3 linked regions of the Lepisosteus oculatus genome follow. The protein of the gene in region 3 interacts with the protein of the main gene of each other region in a pairwise test. Links are inferred from orthologs where the notes say so. Each region holds a gene or a part of one and is shown on either strand. Other genes may lie near its edges. The genes, in order: ccdc146, tex11 and necab2.

Region 1 (7,593 bases), on a different chromosome or scaffold from region 3:
AGAATAACTTGTGAAGATTTCAGGGCATAAAAAAAGAAAAATGAGGAGGCAAACTGAACCTTTCCAGCAAAACAGCAGTTGTTCTGCTGACACAGGCTTTTGCGCTGCATTACCTTAATTGACTGCAGGAGGCTCTTTCCCCGCTCTGTTAATACTCTGCAGTTGTCACACTCCATCTTCTGAATCTTCACATTTCCTGCTCCAAATGTTGTAATATGCAGATCTGAGTAGAAACAGAAAATGCACACGTCATGAAATAAAGCCATCAAATTGATTTCACAAAAAAAATCAATGAGCAGAACAACGGAATTGATAACAGTTTTCATCGTTGCTACAGTATGTTGCGGATCCATGTGAAGCTTAATCCCTTGGAGAGAAACACAGATTCGTGATTTTGCAGTACCGCAGGATTTGCCCTCTGCTGTTAGCACACGGTTCCCTGGACACTGCAGTCTCTGCCTGAACACTCCACCTCCTCACATTACAGAAAGGAGCATATTTACAGAATGTTTATAAGAGATTGAGCGAGACATTTCTGAATGTTTTTTCCTTTGTTTGTTCTGCCTGAGAAATGCCGCAGCATTTACCGATTTCATGTACATATTCAATAATTCATTTCTGTTTTAGTTCAACACAGTATCAAGAATACCATTCATCCAAAAAACAAAGTGCAGCCACAGAGGACAATGGAAAAAGTGAGCACCATTTAGTCGTAAAACTATAATTAAAATACAAGTAATAGGTTTATTCCATGCTGAAAAGAGAAGAAAGAAAACACACCATTTTGGCCGTGGAGAAAGAATGAGTTACTAATAAGAAGTAGCCATATGGTCCAGTTACTGTAGCTCGTTTGTTAGGATTTAATAATTCCTTGAAAAGATCCAGGATACCAAAAAATGTGCCTGGGTAGCTTTCAAAGGACTCCCATAACACTTTATGTACTTAAACTTTCAATCAACGTAATTTTTAAAGATTAAACTACATACAACCTCACAAACTACTAGACATGCGTCTTCAGAAAGAGCAATTCTTTCTTTTGGACTAAGAGCTACAGTAAGTAATGAGTCAGTAAAACCTGCTCTACTGCAATGTCAGTCAAGGCCCTGTGCTTTCCAAACTGGACTCCTGAATCTCTAAGCTGGTTTCCTTGCAATAGCAGCCCTATCCAGACCTCTCCTGCTCATGCTAATTTCACCTCTTTACCTCAGAACCTGCAGCTCTTGCTCTCCAGACTCTTCACTGTCTATACTGTATACCTATCGCTGGCCAACCACCCCCCTGTCCTCTGTGTTGGGTGTGATTGCGTCTTTCCTCCATACCCTTGCCTCCAAGTGCTGAAATCATCTCTAGCTACCTTCTATCACCTCCTTCGAACCTGGAATTCACTAACCTGATTGCAGTTCTGAATTAAAACCTATTTTTAACTGCAGCAGTGCTATACTTCATATCACCTGCCCCCAGCTAGAGGATCAGATTCCACCTTTCCTGACCTCCCTCTGTATACTATCTGCAGTGTGTGCAATGGGTGACAGGAGGGCAAATATTGAAGGTGAAAAATGAACGGTTAGTTTTATTTTGGAAAACATTGCTTTTATTTTTGAAGGTGAGCAATGTTTGCATTAAAATGAGCCCATAAAAGTAAGCAGCAATTCACTGTTACACTGGGTGTAAAGAGATCTGCAAACCATTCTTGAGCCTGGACACCTCTAACACACAGCTAACAGCCGACAAATCAGCAGGAAATGTCCTGGCCTTTATATTCAATTAATCAGTCTGGGATCTCTGAAGGCAATGTTGTGTTGGCACTGCTGCCCAGCAACTCCTTTAATCTTGTGGGCAGTTCAGACAACAATTTTATAATTCCCTGACAGGTTTTAATTGTTTTGTTTCTTTATATATTACTATAAAACGTATAACTGCTTAACCTTATCCCCCTAATTATTGCCTTTCAGATTGTTGATCTGATAAGTCTTGTCGAAAGTACTGTACATGATAGGGAACGGGGTAAGATGGTATCCATGCTATGCACAGGCTTGGGCCTGACTCTAAATTCCTTCAAAACAAAGTGCTACAAAATTTGTCATTGCCAGGTTTCAAAAAGAACACTGCTGCCCTGCAATCAGCAAACTGCCAGGTTAATATATAACTGGCTTTTGGAGTAAAAAAAGCTATTTAACTATATACAGTACAAATCTGTATTTGTAGGGAACTGCTTTCACAATATCCTCCAGGTAAAATGGGAAGACAATGTTTTACTGTAATGTTTTACCAAATGATGTGAGTAAATAGGTCCACTGCCCATCAGAGCTGCTGCAAGTAGCTACCAGTTCACAATTTAAAACTGGCAGGCCACTGAAGCTAGGCAGGTGTGAGCCTGGTCAGTACCTGGATGGGAGACGTCCTGAGAATTCTAAAGTTGCAGCTGGAAGAAGTGTTAGTGGGGTCAGCAGGGGGCGCTTACCTTGCAGTCTATGTGGGTCCTAATGCTCCAGTGTAGTGACTGTACTGTAAAAAGATGTCATCCTTCGGCTGAGATGTAAAACCGAGGTCCTGACTCTCTGTGGTCATAGAAAATCCCAGGGTGTTTCTCGAAAACAGGAGGGGGGTTACCCAGGCATCCTGGCCAAATTTCCCATTGGCCCTTACCAATCATGGCCACCTAATAATCCCCCTATATGAATTGGCTTCATCACTCTGTTCTCCCCACTGATAGCTGATGTGTGGTTCTGGCTCACTATGGCTGCTGTCGCATCATCCAGGTGGATGCTGCACATTGGTGGTGGTGTAGGCCAGTCCCCATTACCTGTAAAGCGCTTTGAGTTCAGAAAAGTGCTATATAAGCGTAAGGAATTATTATTATGAATTATTATTAAAACGAATGGACATTAATGAAGGGAACAGATGTGATAGGACTACTGAGAGACTCTGATCAACGAGTGATGAACTACTGTAGCTAAAAATGTATCAACGGAAGAAGAATCGCCTTAGTTGAAACACGATAAGGTTAGAAAGAAATGAATCCCCAAAACAAGTCAGCTCAAGTCTAGAAAAACTTGGACTTAATGATTTAATGGAGAATTCTCCCTACTGATTCTGAAAATTCAAAGATAGAAAGAGCATACAGAACAGCAAGCACCACGAAAAAAGACCTCCCTGTTTGCCAAGACAGGCCGAAAGGAACAGACAATAATTGTTCTGCAATACAACAGTAAAAACGATTAAGGTGGAAGTAAATATTTTACAAAATAACAGATAAAGAGCAAAAGTGGATATAATAAGAATACATCTGTAACCTGTCAATGCTATAAGGAGTGCCACTAGCATTGAGTGATTTTAGCAGAACTGACACTGAGGTTTTAGGGCTGGGGCAGCTTAAAACTAAGAAATTAACAGCACTTCACTATTCATACAGAAGAAAATGATGGGCATTATCCATAGCCTCTTAGCTTGGATATGTTATGTAATCTTAAAGGACACCATAACCACGGACTGAATAATTATGCTACTTCACAAAAGGAGAATACGGAACGAGGAAATTTCAGATCTGAAGTGCACAAAACCAGTCCTGAAGAGGTTTCTGATTTTCAAGCCCTTAATTACTGACCTCATTATTTTCTTAATAGGACAGGCTGAATCCATTCCTTGTTTTTGGGAAACCGGAGACTAAGGAGATCTATAACAACTGCTGGACAGCCCTGCTATAGAGCAATTGTCGAGAAAGATGGACCCAGTCGTTTCCTCTCATTTGCAACCTGTCTCGAAACCATCTATTAAACGGAAGTCCTTCATTTGTTATCCTTTTTATTAAAGCGTATTTATATACATACTCACCACTTTTAATTGGAGCAGTCACTTCCACAGACACGTTACTATTGACCTTTTCTGACAAAATCAACAATTCCCTTTTCTGTTCGTAGTACTTGACATGAAAGTTGTCTAGTTTTAGTCCTTGATCTGCGCTGGTGCCATGAACAGTTATGAAAGCCCTGTCTGCCTCCGGGAAAGCGTGGAGGTCCAGGGGTCGTACAGACACATTGCAGGGCAACTGGACTCTCACAGTACTGAAGGGGTTGACTATCAGAGTCCACTGTTTCAGAGGCTTGTTCAACTCACGGGCGGGACTATGAAAACAAGTTGTTGTTGACAGTCCTCTGAACGCGTACAAGAAAAACGCGTTCGAAAAAATATTTGTTTTATAGTTTGTGAGAGCTTTCCATCGCGCAATCTCCTGGTACAGTCCACGGAACAATTTCTGGGATACAAAATAGGAAACAATCATGTCTGCTTCTTAAATCTATAAAAGAATAAAAGAAATTTAGAGCAAAACATGCACACCACGAGTTTTTTCCAAAACATTGAAAAGCGTCACACAGACCTCCCCGGACATGGACAGAGAGTGCTTCTGGGATTTGGAGTTTTAAGCATGTTAAAATATTAACAATGTCTGCTCGAACAAAACTTTAAAAAAAACGATTTGTAACAATACGATTTATAAAATAGTTATGTTTAATTATTTTGAAAAAATACTATATTTCATTTTCAGTGTGATAAATGTGATACTTAATTTTGGATACAACAATTACCGTGATGGTACAGAATGACTACAATGACCATATCGCCTTACAAATACGTTTGCAGTCTCGTCTCTTTGTCGACATACTGACAGACTAAGGTTTTTCAATAAAGCTACTACACAATTTCCCTGACAGGACAACAAGGAATGTCCGTCTTCGCTCCACGCCTTTTTAAATAAAGAAACAATAATACAGGCTTCCAGTATTTTTACAATATTGGCATAGAAATGCCAGATCAGTAACAAGTGGCACCTCCTTGGCCTTCACGTTAGGGTTCTGGAGTAGTAAGAGATTTCTTTACAACAGTGAATCATTTTTTAAGAGTTTAAAGTGCCTTTTACTCTAACAGTACATTTCGGACCGCTTCAAAACATTTGCCTGTGTCTTTATATATGAAAGAATAAAGGCGATAACACCTTCGACTAAACCATAGGCTATACTTCGGGAGATTTTTTGGGATGGTCGCTTTCATTGGCTGCTGTCTAGACTGGCACTTCAAATACCAACCAGATTCAGAAAAGGCTTTGATTGCGTGTTGTCATGGAAACGCAGAAGCAAACTCCGGCGAGGCCGAGATTGAGTAGCAAACAACTCGAAGATCTAAAGACACTCACCAGGCTTTTAAAAAATACATATTTGCAAATATTTTCTTTCATATAGGCTTAACCAGGAGACTGTAAACATAAACATAGGGTGGAAGGTGCTTTTGAGCGTTTCCCCAGGTAAGACATTTTAAACAGATTAGCCCTTTTGAAGCTGTCATTCTCTTAAAATAGTCATTATTGGTAGGTGTTTATTATTTATACTGTATGTATTCAGCGCAGAAAAAAAAGTTTGATTATAACGCACTGAATAAATTAAGATATGCATCCATTTTATCACACGTTTACGTAACGGAGAATTTACTGGAGTAATGTGTGTGAGTTTACCATGCTCACGGGTATAATAACACTGACGTGTCGGTGGGGACTCCACAGCCGCAGGTTCCACATGCTCACCACTCGCTCCACGAGGAGCTTGGGGTTCTGTGCGCCCTTAAAGTTTTAATTGTGGAATTAAAATGAACTTCATCGAGCTTCTTGTTTTGCATGACTGACGCTGTTCATCTCAAATGTAAAAAAGTGAGGGTTGAGACGGCGCTTTGAAATGGATGGGCTGTGCTCTTTTGATAATCTGATCACCAGTTTAACGTATCTGACGATTAGTAAGCTTTCTTTAATCAGCTTTATTTAATTGGCTAAGGTTATTATTAACGTAATTATTTATGTTAACAAAATAAGTGTTTATTAATATTACGTCACTGTGAAAAAGTACAGTAATTGCTCACGAACAACACAGATGCAGTATGTGCACCCATAACGTGGATGCACTGTAATACCGTTCTTCAGTATCTGTTTGCTTCCAGGAGGTGGCAGTAAATGAGAACTGTTTGAACACTTGCACAATGTTAACACGTATGCCGAGATCGTTGGGGATCATATCTGCAATACGTCAAGTAATCTCAAACGAAGTGTTTACTGTGCTGTAAGGGTTAATGAAAGCAAAATGCGATTTCTTGTATATTAACGCCAGTCCCACCTGAATGTCACTTTAATTGTTTTTATTTTCTTTTCTAAAGGTTCGCAGTGGTAATTGCAAAATTGATGAAGGTCTAAAACTACGGTGTTTGAAATTAACTGTGATTTTGTAAATGTTTACATCTGCATTACTTGTATAATGTTATGCTGAATTATTTAAAATACCTGAAAAACCGAGACTACATGTTTACACATGGCATTTTGGAGAGTACTTATGTTATGGTAAGTTTTTCTTAAATCACGCATTGTGCATTGTTTAACAAACACCAGTTATTGGTTAATTTAAATCTAGAGGATTGGATTAATTTTAACAGTGATGGCAAAACATTTGCATATATATACTGTATGTGTTCCGACACCACTGCAGTTTGAAGACATCCAGTCGAAAAAAAGTCCAGTATTATTCAAACTTTAAAATCACTATTTTCTGAATATATAGCTTTCAACAAAAGCCAAGATGTCCGGACTCTTAAGGATGTGTTCTACACTAGTAGGCAGCCCGTTGAGCAGAGCTTGCAAACGGATGACATTAAGACTGTTAGTATCTCGTCTCATCCCTCGCTTGCTCTGCATGAATCATGCTGTACCAACCGCTGCCTTCAAACTGACGTTTTTGGAATCGTTTTTGCAGAGACTTAACGAAATGAGGAATCCCCTCTTCCCACATTCAATCGCACTATTCAATAATACGCAATTGAATGTTTATGGGCAAGTGCAATTAGTGGATATTTGCAAAAATGAAGGGGTATGTGCAATTACAGGGGCTCGAGCTGATTGAAGAGTGAGTCAATTTACAGGTTCTGGTAAATTGCGTGGATTCCTTTAGGAGTGGTGTGTAATGACTATGTACAGTATGTGTTGATTTGCTTTATTTAATGTTATATTTATCTGTTCTATTAGTATGTGTTTTGTATCTCGGTGTATAAAACTAGCTGCTTGGATGTAAACAAATTTGTGAGAAATCAGACAATAAGGTATCACATCATATAATGTAAATCATATCATATGTAACATACATTTATGTGAATTTTGAGCAACAGTTATACATTTACTTCTGCATATTCATTTTGCAGTATTCCACTGTATGTTCCATTTTCCTGTTTCCTCTTTGATGAACTGGAATTAGAGTATGGAGAAGAAAGAAGTAAAGGAGATTTTGTACTTAGCTGAGCCATGATACGTAATTTTCTCTCAATACTGTTAACACCAAAGCACTTAATTTATATAATTGTATAAGGCTGCCTTCATTAAAAAGTATGTCTGCCAAATTTTCATTAAAACCGACCACACTGAAACACTGAATGATCATGGTGAGACCTGGAGGTGGGCCAGAGTTTAACGAACCCATTCTTCTTAAATCAATGTTCCGCTGTGCAGTGGGAACCTTAATGGGCACATTATGCAAGACTTTCTTCTCTGTAATCTAGCAGGAGGGAGCCCTG
Region 2 (7,337 bases), on a different chromosome or scaffold from region 3:
TTCGGTTTTATATCTCATCCAAAGGACAGTGGCGTTTTACAGTATAGTGTCCTCATTACTATACGAGGGCATCATGACCCACACAGATTGCAGGATGAGCGCCCCCTACTGTTTCTGCTTACACCTCCTCCAGCAGCAACCTTAGCTCCTCCCAGGAGGAATAGTATGTTCTAGCAATGCTAATACAGACTAGACAGACCAGCAAGGTCTGGCATGCGACAGGTCTGCAGGTAAGAGGAAGGACTCACCAGGATTTGTCTGCGAATCGCTCCCTCTGACAAGTCTTTAGTTTCATACGCGTAGGCCAGTCTGCAAGCCACATGACGTACTGCAGCGTATGTTGTACAAAGAGCAGGACCCAAAGACAGCAGTGAATGAAAAACAGTAATGTGTCTAAAAACATGATACCCTGAATATTACTTTAAAGAAAAGAATAAGCTTTAAATTAATCTAAACAGAAAAGGACCACATGTGCAACGTTAAAGCATTAAACAGATTAGGAGAGTAAATTACACTGGAGCCTAGAACCAATGCATCAACAGTACATTACTGAGACAGCAATGCTGGCTATTCAGCTATGAAAAAGATTGGCAAATTCAGCTAATTTGTGGTCTCAATAAAACATTGAAACACAAATCTGAGTACATTGGTAGTTTTTTATAACGCTGATTTAAAATTTCATCTGGAGAGAATGAGTTTGTTACCTTTTGCTCTTTGCTCCTCAGTGATTGCAGAGCCCACATGTTTCGTAACAGCCCAGTTCCACAGCTTAATGGCATGTTCTTCAGCCTGAGAAATTAAAAATACTGTACACACTGTGTGCCTGCATCCTGGTTTTTGAGCACATTGTTTTGAATACTTTTAAAACACTTCCCTTTTCTTTAACAGGCAGTATTAGAATTAATACTTTAAAAGGGCTGTTACTCTGAGTGTTTTTTTATTATAAATAAGACTGATGGAGAGTAAAGAGGTTTTTAAGATGTACAACTGATGTCATTTACTGGATTGTTCCTATCAGATACATTGCACACAAAAAACAATGGCGCTACCACTCCAACCCCACACCTCCATCTCTCCCACTAGAGGGCTCTACCATTCCAGCGCCTCCCCCGTCTCTCCCACTGCAGGGCGCTACCATTCCAGCGCCACCCCCGTCTCTCCACTAGAGGGCGCTACCACTCCAGCGCCACACCCCCGTCTCTCCACTGCAGGGCGCTACCATTCCAGCACCACACCCCCATCTCTCCCACTGCAGGGCGCTACCATTCCAGCGCCACCCCCCCGTCTCTCCCACTGCAGGGCGCTACCATTCCAGCGCCACACCCCCGTCTCTCCACTGCAGGGCGCTACCATTCCAGCGCCACCCCCCATCTCTCCCACTGCAGGGCGCTACCATTCCAGCGCCACCCCCCCGTCTCTCCCACTGCAGGGCGCTACCATTCCAGCACCACACCCCCGTCTCTCCACTGCAGGGCGCTACCATTCCAGCGCCACCCCCCGTCTCTCCACTGCAGGGCGCTACCATTCCAGCGCCACACCCCCGTCTCTCCACTGCAGGGCGCTACCATTCCAGCGCCACCCCCCGTCTCTCCCACTGCAGGGCGCTACCATTCCAGCGCCACACCCCCGTCTCTCCACTGCAGGGCGCTACCATTCCAGCGCCACCCCCGTCTCTCCCACTGCAGGGCGCTACCATTCCAGCGCCACCCCCGTCTCTCCACTAGAGGGCGCTACCACTCCAGCGCCACACCCCCGTCTCTCCCACTGCAGGGCGCTACCATTCCAGCGCCACCCCCGTCTCTCCCACTGCAGGGCGCTACCACTCCAGCGCCACACCCCCGTCTCTCCCACTGCAGGGCGCTACCATTCCAGCGCCACCCCCGTCTCTCCCACTGCAGGGCGCTACCATTCCAGCGCCACCCCCCGTCTCTCCCACTGCAGGGCGCTACCATTCCAGCGCCACACCCCCGTCTCTCCACTAGAGGGCGCTACCATTCCAGCGCCACACCCCCGTCTCTCCCACTGCAGGGCGCTACCATTCCAGCGCCACCCCCGTCTCTCCCACTGCAGGGCGCTACCATTCCAGCGCCACCCCCGTCTCTCCACTAGAGGGCGCTACCACTCCAGCGCCACCCCCGTCTCTCCACTAGAGGGCGCTACCACTCCAGCGCCACACCCCCGTCTCTCCCACTAGAGGGCGCATATCACTCCAGCGCCACACCCCCGTCTCTCCACTAGAGGGCGCTATAAGGCCTTCAGCCTCACCTGCGGCTGGGGCACCTCCCCCGCCAGCTCGCCGTCCAGACGAGCCGCTTCGCCGAACAGTCTGTCGATGAGCCGCTCCGCGCTGCCAGGCGTCTGCTTCTGCACCAGCTCCTCGGTGAGGTCTACGCGTGAATTACATGAATTCACAGACATGAATAGTAAGGAACCTGATGGTACCCTTTTTTATAATATTCGGTCATTTAAAAAGTTCGCTTTTTAAGACCCACCACGAGTTTCTGGAGTCAGTTTTCCTTCTCTAATCTTCTTCATGGCGACATACCATAAAATAACCAGCGACCATAAAATAATACATGTCCTGTACTATGATGTTTTGTTTTTACGGGACAAATGGACTACAAGTTAAAATTGAACTCCCACATTTGAGAAAAAGAAATGATGTCATTAAGCCCATTTGGAATACAATCACAAACAAATCACATCGCGTCCTCGTCAGTGAAACGTGATGTCGTCCCCAAACACGTTTTCCACACATTTTGAATATAAATGTAGTCATATTTTTTTCCCCTCATGAGTTTAAATTAAATTCAGACCGAAAATATTCCTCACCTTTAACCTTCGAGATGAAGTCGTCCATGTCGGTGACAGCTAAAAGAAATATGATGAGTTTATAAGAAAAGGCGCAGCTGTAAAGCTTTTCAAAAGGTTTGCTTGGCTGAAATGTAATAATTAAAACCCCTCTAAAAAAAAGACGCGCAGTTTTAATGTGTTGATATTTTCGGCGTCTCGACCACGGCCGCGAGCTCGCGAGCTGGGCCTCGAGCCTGTCGGCGCCTCGCGCCGGGCCGCGCGCGCGCGCGCGCGCCTGGAGTTCCGTTTCCCCGGGAGTCTCAAAGCAGTTAATCCTCGCTTTCCTTTAAAGTTTAAATGCTAAAAAAACCGGCTTCCATGAATATTGGTCCGAAATTCCACTGATTGTGAAAAGCTTATATCTTCATTATAATTTTAAAATTATATGTTAGAAATTATCCAAGGTTATAAACGTGTTATTATTATTTCAGGTGGGGAGCTGCGTCAGCATCCGTAGGCTGTAGAGGAACAAGTAACAGGTTTATTCACACCTGAAGAAGGCTCCACGGCTGAAACGTTGTGTGTTCTTTCTTCTCTTTTTCAGCATGAAATAAACCTGTTACTTGTATTATTATTATTATTATTATTATTATTGCTGTTGTCAGTATATTATCCCGGAGAAACCGTCTGTATCCAAGTCGCCGCTAGGGGGAGCTCGATCCCGTGTTATCTGTTCTGGCTAAATCAAAAAAAAACTCCGCAAGAACTCACATCAAAGTCTTTTCATTCCAATCCGTGTTTCGAGTCGCGTGAATTGATCGATAAAAACGCCGTTGAAAACATGACTATAATTCTCCCTGGCGTGTGTAAAGCATCTGTCACTGTAGGAGCTACTGGTCTGTTGTTCACAAGGCACTGCTGAGCAAAGAGGCTTTGACCTGCTGCTCATCAGTTGATCAGATCACTTTATTGGCCATATACAACTTAGGGATTTGTCTTTTCACATACCCCAGCTTGCGCTCCATGAGACACACAGACAGAAAGAAGCTGGGGGTCAGAGCGCAGGGTCAGCCATTTATACGGTGCCCCTGGAGCAGCTGGGGTTCAGGGCCTTGCTCAGGGGCCCAACAGAGTAAGATCTCTCTGCCAGCCATGGGATTTGAACCAGCAACCTTCCAGCCAGAGGCGCACAGTCACAGAGCCACCACACCGCCCCTGAATAGCCACTGGACGAGCAGAATCATTGTTAGCCAATGAGCTAAGATTACTTATGAGTTGACATCTGTGATTGTGCATGTTCACAGTTTCACATCAAGGCTCCTGTGTGGAGTGGTTGTGGAATGATGAATTGATCTCATCGCTCTGCGCTCCTCCCCACTGAGAGCTGGTGTGTGGGGAGCAGACTGGAGCATCATCCAGGTGGGGCTGCACACTGGTGGGGATCCCCATGACCTGTAAAGCGCTTTGAGCAGGGTGTAAGGAAAAGCGCTATATATATATGTAAAGAATTATTATTAGATCATATTAGAATAGAATTAGAACTCCGCAGTGTTATAACTTGTCAGACTCAGCTAACTCCGTGACAGCAGACACCCTGTTCTGAATTTCAGACCACACCCTTCTACTCTAAGAGGCTCCCAGTAGTGCCTTGTTTCCTTTTTTAATGGGTGATAACTGGCACACAGGCTGGAAAATGGAAAATGTTTCTGCTGACGTTTGGCGCACGCCGAACTCCATTCATCTCATCTGCGCTGAAGAGGCCCATTGTTCTCCTCTGCCGCCTACAAATGAAAACGCTGTACTGTCAGCTCTTCCACTGAGCTCTGGCTGCTTTTCTTTGGTTGAGCAAGAAATTGTTAGAATATTTTTGGCAGAGGCCCAGCCTATTTATCGTGTCTGTTTATCGTGATCAGAGGTCATTCATTTGGCCAGTTGTGTTGTTTTTTTTTACACCATAGGAAATGATGCTGGCGTCGCATGCCTCCCAAAACCATTTGTATAAAATCCGGTACGCCTGTGGGAGAACATAAAGGAGACAAATTAAGTATCGCTGTTTCGATGCGAAGCCGTGTAAATACGTTTCATGTCTGAGAAGTGTTGGGAACCGGTGCTGACAGATGAGGTATACAACGTGAACTGAGACAGGAATCTTGATGTTCTCCTCCGCCCTCAGCCTGCAAATGTAATTTCTTGGGTCAATCTGGGCTCTGGCCCTGTGTGAGTACCGTTGTACCTGTATTGTAGGGTTAAATATTGTAACGCTTACGGCCGACAGGCACTGTGTAAGAGCCGGCGTACCAGAGCGGTGACGTCGCCGCCCTTCCCTGCGATAGCAGGACTACAGCTACTGGGCTGTGGAGAGATCTCTCTTTGGCTCACCGGGCTGGGTCACTGCAGAGAGACGCGGGAGTCCTGGGTTCCACCGTCGGGGGCTGACTAAATGCGGCAAGGGCGCCCGCCAGAGCCCCCGTTGCGTTACAATATATAAACGGTATAGTTAAGTGCACGTACAGATTGTCATTGAAAGAGTCCAGACCTTGTTTCCAGCTGAGAGATATTTGCTTGCTGTTATAACTTCAACACGAACTACAGCACGTGAATGTATGGCTTCGCGCGGGAAGGGTGTGACTTTCACATTGGCGGGGGTGGGGGGGCAGGGGGGGCAAAGATCAGGGCAGACCCAATCCCGCTGGACGCTGGGGCACTGTGATCGTCCCTGAGGCCTGTGCCTGTGCCTGTGCCATCTGTGCTGGTGCTCGGTGGCACATCTCGGCTTTTGAGCTTCGCAGGTATCAGAAGAAAAGAAGCCCCCCCCCTCCACCTCCCCTCCTGATATGAAACTGAACCTTTCCTTAGCTGCACGCTAGAGCTTCAGACACCAGATGTAGTCTTGAACCAACGCTCAGGAGGAGGCCAAGCCCCGGTCTTGCCTGTTTCCGGCTGCCCACATGTACAGTAAATACCCCGCTCCTCCCACCTGCGAGCTCCATTCTCACCTCCCCTCTCGCACCCTCACCCTTCCTTGCAGCAGCTCCTGGCTCGTCCCTCGCGGGGAGAAGAGGGAGCGGGGGTCCTGTCAGGGTACCCCTCGTGGGCAGCCTGCCGTTCGCTCAGCCAGGTGAGTCACCCCGGTGGAGCAGACCGGCACCCATCCCGCCTGCACTCTGATCTCACTAGGGGACATGCAGGAGCCACTGCAGGTGCACTGGGAATGTCTGGATGAAGTTGCTGGGGTGCAGGACGGAGAACTTGGGCCCCATTCAGAGAGGAGTGACCAGGGGCAGCTGAGGGATGGAGATGGGTTGAGGAGGGATGCTGGAGATGAATGGGGTGTCTGAGCTCCGTTCATGTAGCTAGTTTCTGTGATGATGGTGATCAGGTGCAGCTCAGTGAGGTTGACTTGTCGTTGTTGTCCTTCCCGAACTTCAGTTAATAACTTCCACTCACTGATTCTCGGGACTACTAAAACGACATCAGAAATGAAAAACACAAGTTTGTCTTTTTGGGCATTACTCTCGGTTTAGTTGTGCTCGTTTGCCGTAGGTACTAAAACTATTGCAGACGGCCGAGGTTGTGTGTTAGTGGGTTTCTAACAGGTTACACTGAAAAGCCCGTAAACCAATGAGATCATCATTCTGCTACAATTTTAGCACCGTTCATTTATGACAGAAGTGGAAAGGCTGGCTTTGATTCTACAAAAATGCTTGAAGGAGACTATTTTTAATAAGTCTCAGCTTTGTGGGAAACAGAAGAATATATATGCTGGTAGTATGCATCACATGGAATGAATTACTAAATTTCCTCAATTTTTCTTATACTGTGTAGGTTTGTTTTCTTTAATGGGAAAAGAATTACACTGTCAAAATCTGTCAACCCAAGAAGGGCTCAGGAATCTGGGTGTTTCGCTAAGGAATTAGTTTTGTGTTCTAAACAAAGGCCGAAACGTGTATAAGACATACATTCAGCAGGCATGCCAAAATCTTTGCAAACTGGTGAAACAAGCTTTGTTCGAGAGTAAACATTTAGCTTATTATTGCTCTTGGAGAAGCTTGACATTATTTAGTGAAAAGTAAAAACCTATCGCTGCTCGTTTACGAAACAGCTTCTGGACATTTAAGCACAATAGCAAAGTAATGGCCCTTCAAGAGCTGCTCACTTCTCCCCTTGCTCCCTACTAAAGAATATCCCGCGGACAGGGAGGCAGCGTCTGCTGGCCTCCCTGCAGCCAGGCTGTCCTGCCCCTGCTACGCTCCGTTTGTGCATGTGAGCTGCGTGGTCGGATTAAAGGAAGGGCTTCAAGCTGTGCGAGCAGAATTGTTTGAGCCTCTAAATGGCATTTCGCAGCCCGGCTTCTAAAATAAAACGTCTTGAAGCTCATTCCCCTCAGCTCCCGGCTTCCGCCAATTGTTCGCCTTTCAGTCTTATCTTGCAATCACCGCTGTCCCGGGGGAACTGGCAGGGAGCTGAGGGCCTAATCACGGGAAAAAAAACACCCCTCCAAGGGCAATTTAACCCAAAGAGAAACAGCAGCATGTTAATCATGT
Region 3 (7,512 bases):
GAGGACAACAGAGGTCAGAGAGCCTTTAGGGAACTTTGGTCGTACTAAGCTGTGTTTTGAAGTGTGCTTTGAAACTGTAGTTTAGACTGAATGCAAGAGATAATTTAATAGAACTAAAATGCAACTGGCCAGGTATGGAATCAGTAGAGAACGGACAGCACGATTTTAAAGATATTCTGCTTGAAGTGCATAACACTCAGATTTACGACCTAAAGAAGGAAAACCAGTGCCTGGAAATTAAGTAAATTAATAATATGTAAAAGAAGAAAGAAAGCACTTTATAGAATGAATTGAGTACAATTTCCAATTTAGAAAGAAATTGAGTACAAGCAAAGGCACGCATAAGAAACACCAGGATATTAGAAATGCAAGAGAGACAGAAAAGAATATTGCAATAGAGGCAAAAATATAAAATCAGCATTGCAACAGCAAAAGTACAGCAAATGATGAAGTATCTTAAATTTACTAATGGGATAATTTCTGTTAATGAAAAGGAAATGGACAATATCTTAATGAATATTTCACACCAGTGTTTATGCGAAGATTTAGATAGAATCCAGAAAGTGACATTTTGAAAGCCTGTTTGTTCTAGATATAGTACCCGCTGTGTAGAGGGTAGATCTCAAATGAAGTTCAGGAAGGACAATGAAAAATGAGTGAAAAACGCCTGTTTTTTCCATTTTGTCTGCTGCATAGCTCCTCCACCCCATCTCCACCTCTGCAGCTGCCCCTTGGTCACTCCTCACTCTGGATGGGGATCCCAGCCTCCTCGTCCTCTGGCCAGACGGCTGCCCCTCATCCAAGCAGGTTCACCCCAAACTATCCCACTTGAAATACTCCTAACATTCACAAAGCGCCTGATTCTCAAGCGTTATTATTCCTCTTGAAATGTATTGGAGAGGTTGTGGGAGCCCTGTCTCACTCACTGCCCCACACTCTCATGTGTCTTGTGTCTCGTTCCTCCACAGCGGGCTCCTCTTGCCCCCGGTGGACAGTAACGGTGATAGATGGTGACGTCTCATTGACATTTTCTTTCACGGGCAACTGTTTTTGTCCTCCTCAGCCACCCACTCATCTTCACATCCAGCTGCAGTGCACAGCTGCCCTGACAGGTCTAGAGCAGTCACCCCTGTGCTCTGCCCTTTACCGGGGCAGATCAACACCGGCCACTGTGAAGGGAGACGTTGCTCACGGCAAACGGTGCAAACAGCACCCAGAAAGGGGACCGCTCGCTCTGAGCCATTCCGAGGTGAAAGTAACAAAGCAAACTGTGAATCTGGCATGTGCGAAAAGCAATTAGTGGAAAGAGTGCCATTGGGCTGTATCTGTTAAAGTTGCCAGAGTGAGATGAGAGCTGAGAGTCAGACAGGTTAGCAGTTTGTCTGCGGAGATGAAGCATCACTTCAGTTTCAATGGTCCGCTGATGGCTGAAGTGATGAGGTGTACAGTATGCCTTTATCATTGCGATTGCAGCTTTTTTCAGCGTGAATAATGAATTTCCCGGGAACGTACAGTAATTAGTGTGCTGTCTGATTAGCATGTTGGTCATTAATATCTCAGTGAATAAATTCCATTTTGGATATTTTAGAATCACACTGTTCTTTTGCTTCCAAAGTGCCAGCTGATGATTTGTCTCCAGGCAATTCAGTCTTGAATCATTTCACTGTAATTGCAATTGTAATTTGCAGCAGCAATTGTTTTTCAACAATTGTCTCTGTCATTTGTCCTGTTTTCCTTTTAACCTTCTCGTATTAGTGATTCCAAAGAGTAATCATTTTTCTGGGTTTTGCTTTTCTTCATAGATATCTACAATATGCTTTTATCAACTCTGAAGCAGAATTTGCCAACAGAAACACACGGTGTGCTTCCTTTATTTTCTGCTCTTTGTAATTGTGCTTTCTGTGTTACAGCTGGGGTGGGCCTCATTAGACACTGCCTGGCAACGGTACGAAGAACAAAATCATGGAACAGGGACGCAGAAGAGAAGACCTCCCTGCTGAGATGCAGGCGAGTAGTTTTCGCTTGATGCTGGATCAGTAAACAGGCACAAGCTGAAGGTCAGTTTCAAGCTTGTCTCTCAGACAAAGCGATTGGTTCGGGGAGTTCACGATGCTCTCTGGGTGCTTTCATCACGGCTGCTAGGGCCTGTGGGCGACGCACTGTACCTTCTGCCCGGCACCCGGACGGAGCACTCTGATTGGATAACAGTTACCCTCTGGGCTTTCCAGCCTGAGAAGTAACAAGAGCAGGCAACGTCTTCACCATGGGCTGGCAGGGCAGCGTGGGTTTGACGAACCCGAGTTAAAAAACACCTCACAGACCCTGGGCTCATAAAACCCAACGGGCCCCACCGCTGTGATTAGGCCTCAGCCCCCCTGGGAGAAAGAAATGCACAGCTCCTCTAATAACACTGACACCCACTCTTGGCCTGATTGCCAGCCAATTCCTGGAGCCTTTCCACAAGTACAGTATATATAATCTCAGTTTTCACTGCGATTTGAGGGCTTTGGTCTGCGTCCGGCATGATGAAATCAGTAATGGCTGCTCTCATCAAGGGGGTAAGCTTTCTTCTGCCTTTATTTCAATCAACCCCCTTCAGCTTGACGGCAGTATATTATAATGGGCAGTTGTATCAGTTGACATGTGAAGAATTTTGCCCATTACTTTTAAGTCGATATTATTGTGTGCCTTTTGTTCTCGTATGATTACTTCTGTTAGCTGGTTTAATGTCTTTTGTTACAGTATATGCACGATATAACACCCTCAGCTAATGTCTCTTAGTTCCCAAGCGAGTGCAGGAGGTCTAGGTTGGTTTTATCTTACGTGCTCTGCCTGCACTGACCAAGCAAACCTGGATCTAATTGCTTGGGACATCCATGTCAGTGTAGCATCCTTTATTTATTTCCCATTGGTTTCTTTTTTTTATGAATCAACAGGAGCGGAGCGTCGAAGCAACGCCTGCTAACGCAATCCGAGCTGGGAAGAAAGCTCACTGAATGGCCAGCTATGTCTTTCTGCTTCAAGTTGCCATTAGGGCTCGGTGGGAGTCCGTTAATTAACGGCATGAAAGGGCAGAGTCGTGGCGCCTTTTAACTTAAATGCCACCCTGGGCGGGCGAAGCAGTCCTCTTCAGAGAGTGCTGGACTTGAAAGGGAACGGCACAGGTGTCTGCATCCCTTGCCTCTATCGATACTTACATTCTTGGAGAGGGATGTGTCTTCTATCTTCACAAGTCACTACAGCTATAATACAAAACAAAGGGGGAAACAAATCACAGGACACACACTGTGTGTCAACACTGTAATGTGGTATTTTACATTTACTGTACAGGAAGGGCTATTTAAAAACCCCGACATCGTTGTGCTATAAGTGACACATACCCCTGTGTAAAAGCGAGTAAGAGCGTACAAGCAGTGATAGAAGAAGGCTTAGTGGTGTATCTCATGAAAGTGCCACTGTAAGCACTGATCCTTTGCATGGATATCGTCACATTGACATTGTCTTTGCAGTACAGTCTAACTGGCTACCCCTGTCTAACACAGAAAGCGTCTGAATTTCCAGATAAGGGGCTGTACTCATGAAAGGGTTGCTGCAAATGTAATCACTTACTTAAAAGGAATAACCTATAAATGACAGCTGAAAAGCATTAGATACCAGTACGTATGATAGAATATACAGCTGCTATGCGCGCAAATGTTATTCTTTATTAAATTCACGGGTTACACCTTTAAAGTCGACAGCTTTTCAAATGAAGGAACCGAAGCACTGAATTCGGAGAAAACGCTCTATGAACGCAGATTAGTGTCATCTGGTCCTGATAGCCACGCCACACCTGACAAAGAAATGCGTGGATTTGTTCAGTTGCTTTTGGAAATGTAAAACATTATGATTTTCTTCGGCAGAAAAGGTTCAGCTGTTCTGACCTATCTAAGCCACAAACCTTAACAAAACACACGGTCTACGCTTTTATCCTCAGCGTTGCAGTGTCCTAGTTGGGGAGTGGACGCAGTCTGCTGTTGTAGAGCTACACAACAGCCCTGCGCTGATACTCGACAAGTAAAGACGACGGAAAAGAAAGAAAAAAAAACTACCCTCAGACATGAAACGCAATTGAAAGGTACAGATTGTTGTTATTGCTATAACTAAGCAAAACAAAATAAACCGTGAATTTAAAAAACAAACAAAAATTCAGAAGCAGTAAGGTGTCGTTTCTACTTGGGCTCACCTTTTATTGCTTTCAGAACTGCCTAGAAAGGTTGTGTCCAGCGATACTAACGCCAACGAAACTTCTCAGAAGTTGCGGGGCTTGTATGGCCGTTTCATGTTGTATGAGCTGGAAATGCTCGCCATCGCAAGTCAAAAAGCTTTTACCCCCCTGTCGTAATGATGTAAAATGAGAGAGGTGTGTTTTTGGGGTGTGTGCGGGGTGATGTAAGCGGGGTGGGAGGGGAATACCCCATAGCTCTCAGCATGAATGCTCTCTGGCGAAAGGATGTGTGAGCAGGCAGCCCGATACTGCAGGGACGGCGTCCACAAACTGCTCCACAAAGAACAACCCAAACTCGGGGCTCAGAACAGCGAGACAGCAACGGCTGCACAGTCAGGCAGCAGCGGAGCCCAGCTCGGTGGAATAGACGGGCTAGTCCGCTGGATAGTGACGAAGATGAGCGACAACAAGAACATCTCTCCCCGAGAATTCCTCAAGGAGGAGCCGGGGGCTGCCCGGGAGCAGTTCTTCAACCCGGAGCCTCGGAAGGGCATCTCCGTCATCCTGGATGTAGGTATCTCACTGTAGCGGAGCGGGGTGCTGGCTGGCAGGAAGGGTCCGAGAGACTAACGGGGGGGGTAGGATAGGGTGTTTGAACTGCGTTCCCTTGCACAACGCGGGCGCGCACGTCTGAGGCGTTAGAAAATAAAACGGGGGAAAAAAAGATAACAAAAACCCTCAGTGTGGTCGAAATTTGCTTTTGATTTTGCAGCGCTTGCTAGCCTCTGCGTGTTCGCACCGACAGATCCGAAAATGGGACATAGGCTTTTGCGGGAATCCGGCAGTAGACTGTTTGATGAGTTGGCTGTCTTAAGATTCTAGGTTTATACATTGTATCGTAAACATACAAACATGTACAGGGGTATACATAATATTAAAGCTGGGATCTTGTTGTATTAAATTAAAAGCGAATGTCAAACCTAAGCTATTAGAGTGCATCTTCGCTGAAAAGAAGGGATATAAAAAAATAGTTTTCCGTCATTTGCCCTGTCTTTGGAAGGGATTTAAACAACTGTTTCAAAAGACACTAGAGACCGGTATAGATGTCAAATAGTGCATCTTCAAAACTTTAAATATGAAAAACCACGGTGAAACTAGAAATTCTAAACGTTTAATTTCAATGAAGTTTTCAAACTGAAATTAAAAAGTACAGAAATCTGACAAAAAGAGACGCCAGAATTGAACCCTTCAGATAATTAAGGCTATATTTTGTTCTCTTCTATTCTAAGGCTATTCTATTGCGGAGCTCCTAGCGTTGATCGGGCAATTATGAATCGTGAAAGAGTCGTATTAAAATTCACTACAGTATATAGGATAACGTGGCCTCGTGCCCTCAATTCAATTGCTGTACAAAGGTAGAAATCTAATGAGATCAAATCTGATAACTGTGCCGTGTGATCAGCAAAGGTACAGTGACTGTCAGATTCTGTGTTCAGAAATGCATTTAACAGCTCGGGTGAACCCAGCAAGCCGAGACAGACAACATTGCTGTGGTTCCTACAGTTTGGCGACTTTCACAGATCAGCCTGAACTCTCCGCAGCTGGAGCAGCGCTGAGCGCGCCCGTCCAGGCTTGATAACAGCAGCGCTGTCCAGAGCCCAGGCCGTCCTGCACAAGACAGCACTGCTCACATCGTCAACACTTCTTACTTGAGCTAAAAAGGTTAATGGCGTCTCGGAAAATTAATTCAACCTATTTTCCCTTGTTTTTGTTGTTTTCAATGCCCCCTTCTTAATGTTTTGTAGTGCTTTTTGTATCTTTTGTTAGCAATTGCCTTACACCAAAAACGGGCATTTTATTCTGATACAAAACGAAAACAACTTTTTTTGCTTTCATTCTTTTGAATACTCTGCTCGCATAGCCGCGCAATTGTGTTTAAAAACATTATGGATCACATCTCCGGATAGACAGGCACTGGCAAATCGATGGTATGAAACAGAAACGCGTTGATACTTCTGCAACGTTGATTATTTCTTCGCGTTTTTTAAAAGTACAGGGAGGTGTCACATACTGTATCTTTTTTCATTTGAAGACAGAAGGTGTCCAGAGCCCACATTTGTCTCGGGAGAATCACCATTAGTCTTCTCTCGGTCGGCTTTTACTGTATGTAATCTCTCAATAATGTCTTGGAGAAGACAAGCCAGGCTGTATCTCATTAGTGAAGGGAGAGGATGGGCAGTTGTGTGTTCTCGCACGAGTGTCCGAGCACCTGCGGTCCCACCTATTCAACCTGATGCCACCCACAGCAGGGTAGTGATTCGCCAGGTGAGACCCACAGACGTGGATGGCTTCGTCCATGTGCCCCTTTCCCTCCTCTCCTTCGCCCACCGGCAGGAATAAAGCTCTTCCGTCCTTCATGGGACAGTCTCCCACGAGAGTGGCAGACGGAAGATGTCCTGTCCACAGCACCAGCAGTTAGAAAACAAAAAGAGAGAGGACACCATCCGCAACTCTCCCCTCTCCTCTGCTAAGAAAGATCCACACACATTCACTGTCTCAGCTGTCACCTGTGAGGGCTGGAGTCTGGAGGACCTGGGCACTTTGCTTCAGGTGTGCATACAGAGGGATGGAACACCTCAGACAGGTGGGGGTGAAATAATATTGAAGAGTGTCTGGTGGAGAGTTTGAAAGAATGAGCAGCAATTTACAGACTGAGACTTAGAGCTCCCGGTAGTCCTGTAAAGAGGATTGTGCAGGCATGTCTTAAAAAGGGTGAAGCAGTGGCTCTGTGGCTCAGGATCTGCGCCTGTGGCTGGAAGGTTGCTGGTTCAAATCCTGCGGCCAGCAGAGGAATCCTACTCTGTTGGGTAAGGCCCTTCACCCCAGCTTCTCCAGGGGTGCCGTACAATGGCTGACCCCGCGCTCTGACCCCCAGCTTCTCTCTGTCTCTCTGTCTGTCTGTCCTCATGGAGAGCAAGCTGGGGTCTGTGAAATGTCGAATTCCTAATGCAAGAAATTGTATGTGGCCAATAAAGTGATCTGATCTCTTATCTTATACTGTAGGTCCAAATTAGAGATGACAGTACAGTGTAGCAGTGGTTCTGTAACAAGGAAGGAGCCAGGCTTCTCCTACACTTACAGTATCTATCAGCACAAAGCTGATACTCTGTAATGTAAGTTACTGTTAATCCTAAACCTCATCAGTAACAAGTGCCTCCAACAAAGGAATAACTTTCAGGCTGTGGTGACAATTGTACAATCTGCTGCCCCATATTTAATGCTCCTAAAGTACAATTTGAGCCTCT

The links.
Region 1: the proteins of necab2 (region 3) and ccdc146 interact in binary tests that used the Homo sapiens proteins (3 or more experiments, as listed by UniProt). The two-hybrid records come from large-scale screens. The link is inferred for Lepisosteus oculatus from reciprocal best matches to the Homo sapiens genes NECAB2 and CCDC146.
Region 2: the proteins of necab2 (region 3) and tex11 interact in binary tests that used the Homo sapiens proteins (3 or more experiments, as listed by UniProt). The two-hybrid records come from large-scale screens. The link is inferred for Lepisosteus oculatus from reciprocal best matches to the Homo sapiens genes NECAB2 and TEX11.

Annotation. Positions count from the first base shown.
Region 1 is NC_090702.1:33,919,904-33,927,496, forward strand, and holds the start of ccdc146 (coiled-coil domain-containing protein 146), read left to right. Parts: upstream 1-4,497; 5' UTR 4,498-5,296; intron 5,297-6,355; exon of another isoform or gene 6,356-6,373; intron 6,374-7,593. Other genes in the region: protein FAM185A, read right to left, coding at 114-223, 3,832-4,279. UniProt on the Homo sapiens protein: Essential for sperm flagellum biogenesis and male fertility.
Region 2 is NC_090703.1:50,026,565-50,033,901, forward strand, and holds the start of tex11 (testis-expressed protein 11), read right to left. Parts: upstream 3,052-7,337; 5' UTR 2,861-3,051; coding exon 2,833-2,860; intron 2,388-2,832; coding exon 2,266-2,387; intron 790-2,265; coding exon 705-789; intron 329-704; coding exon 249-328; intron 1-248. UniProt on the Homo sapiens protein: Regulator of crossing-over during meiosis. Involved in initiation and/or maintenance of chromosome synapsis and formation of crossovers.
Region 3 is NC_090715.1:4,213,261-4,220,772, reverse strand, and holds the start of necab2 (N-terminal EF-hand calcium-binding protein 2), read left to right. Parts: upstream 1-4,433; 5' UTR 4,434-4,474; coding exon 4,475-4,777; intron 4,778-7,512. UniProt on the Homo sapiens protein: May act as a signaling scaffold protein that senses intracellular calcium.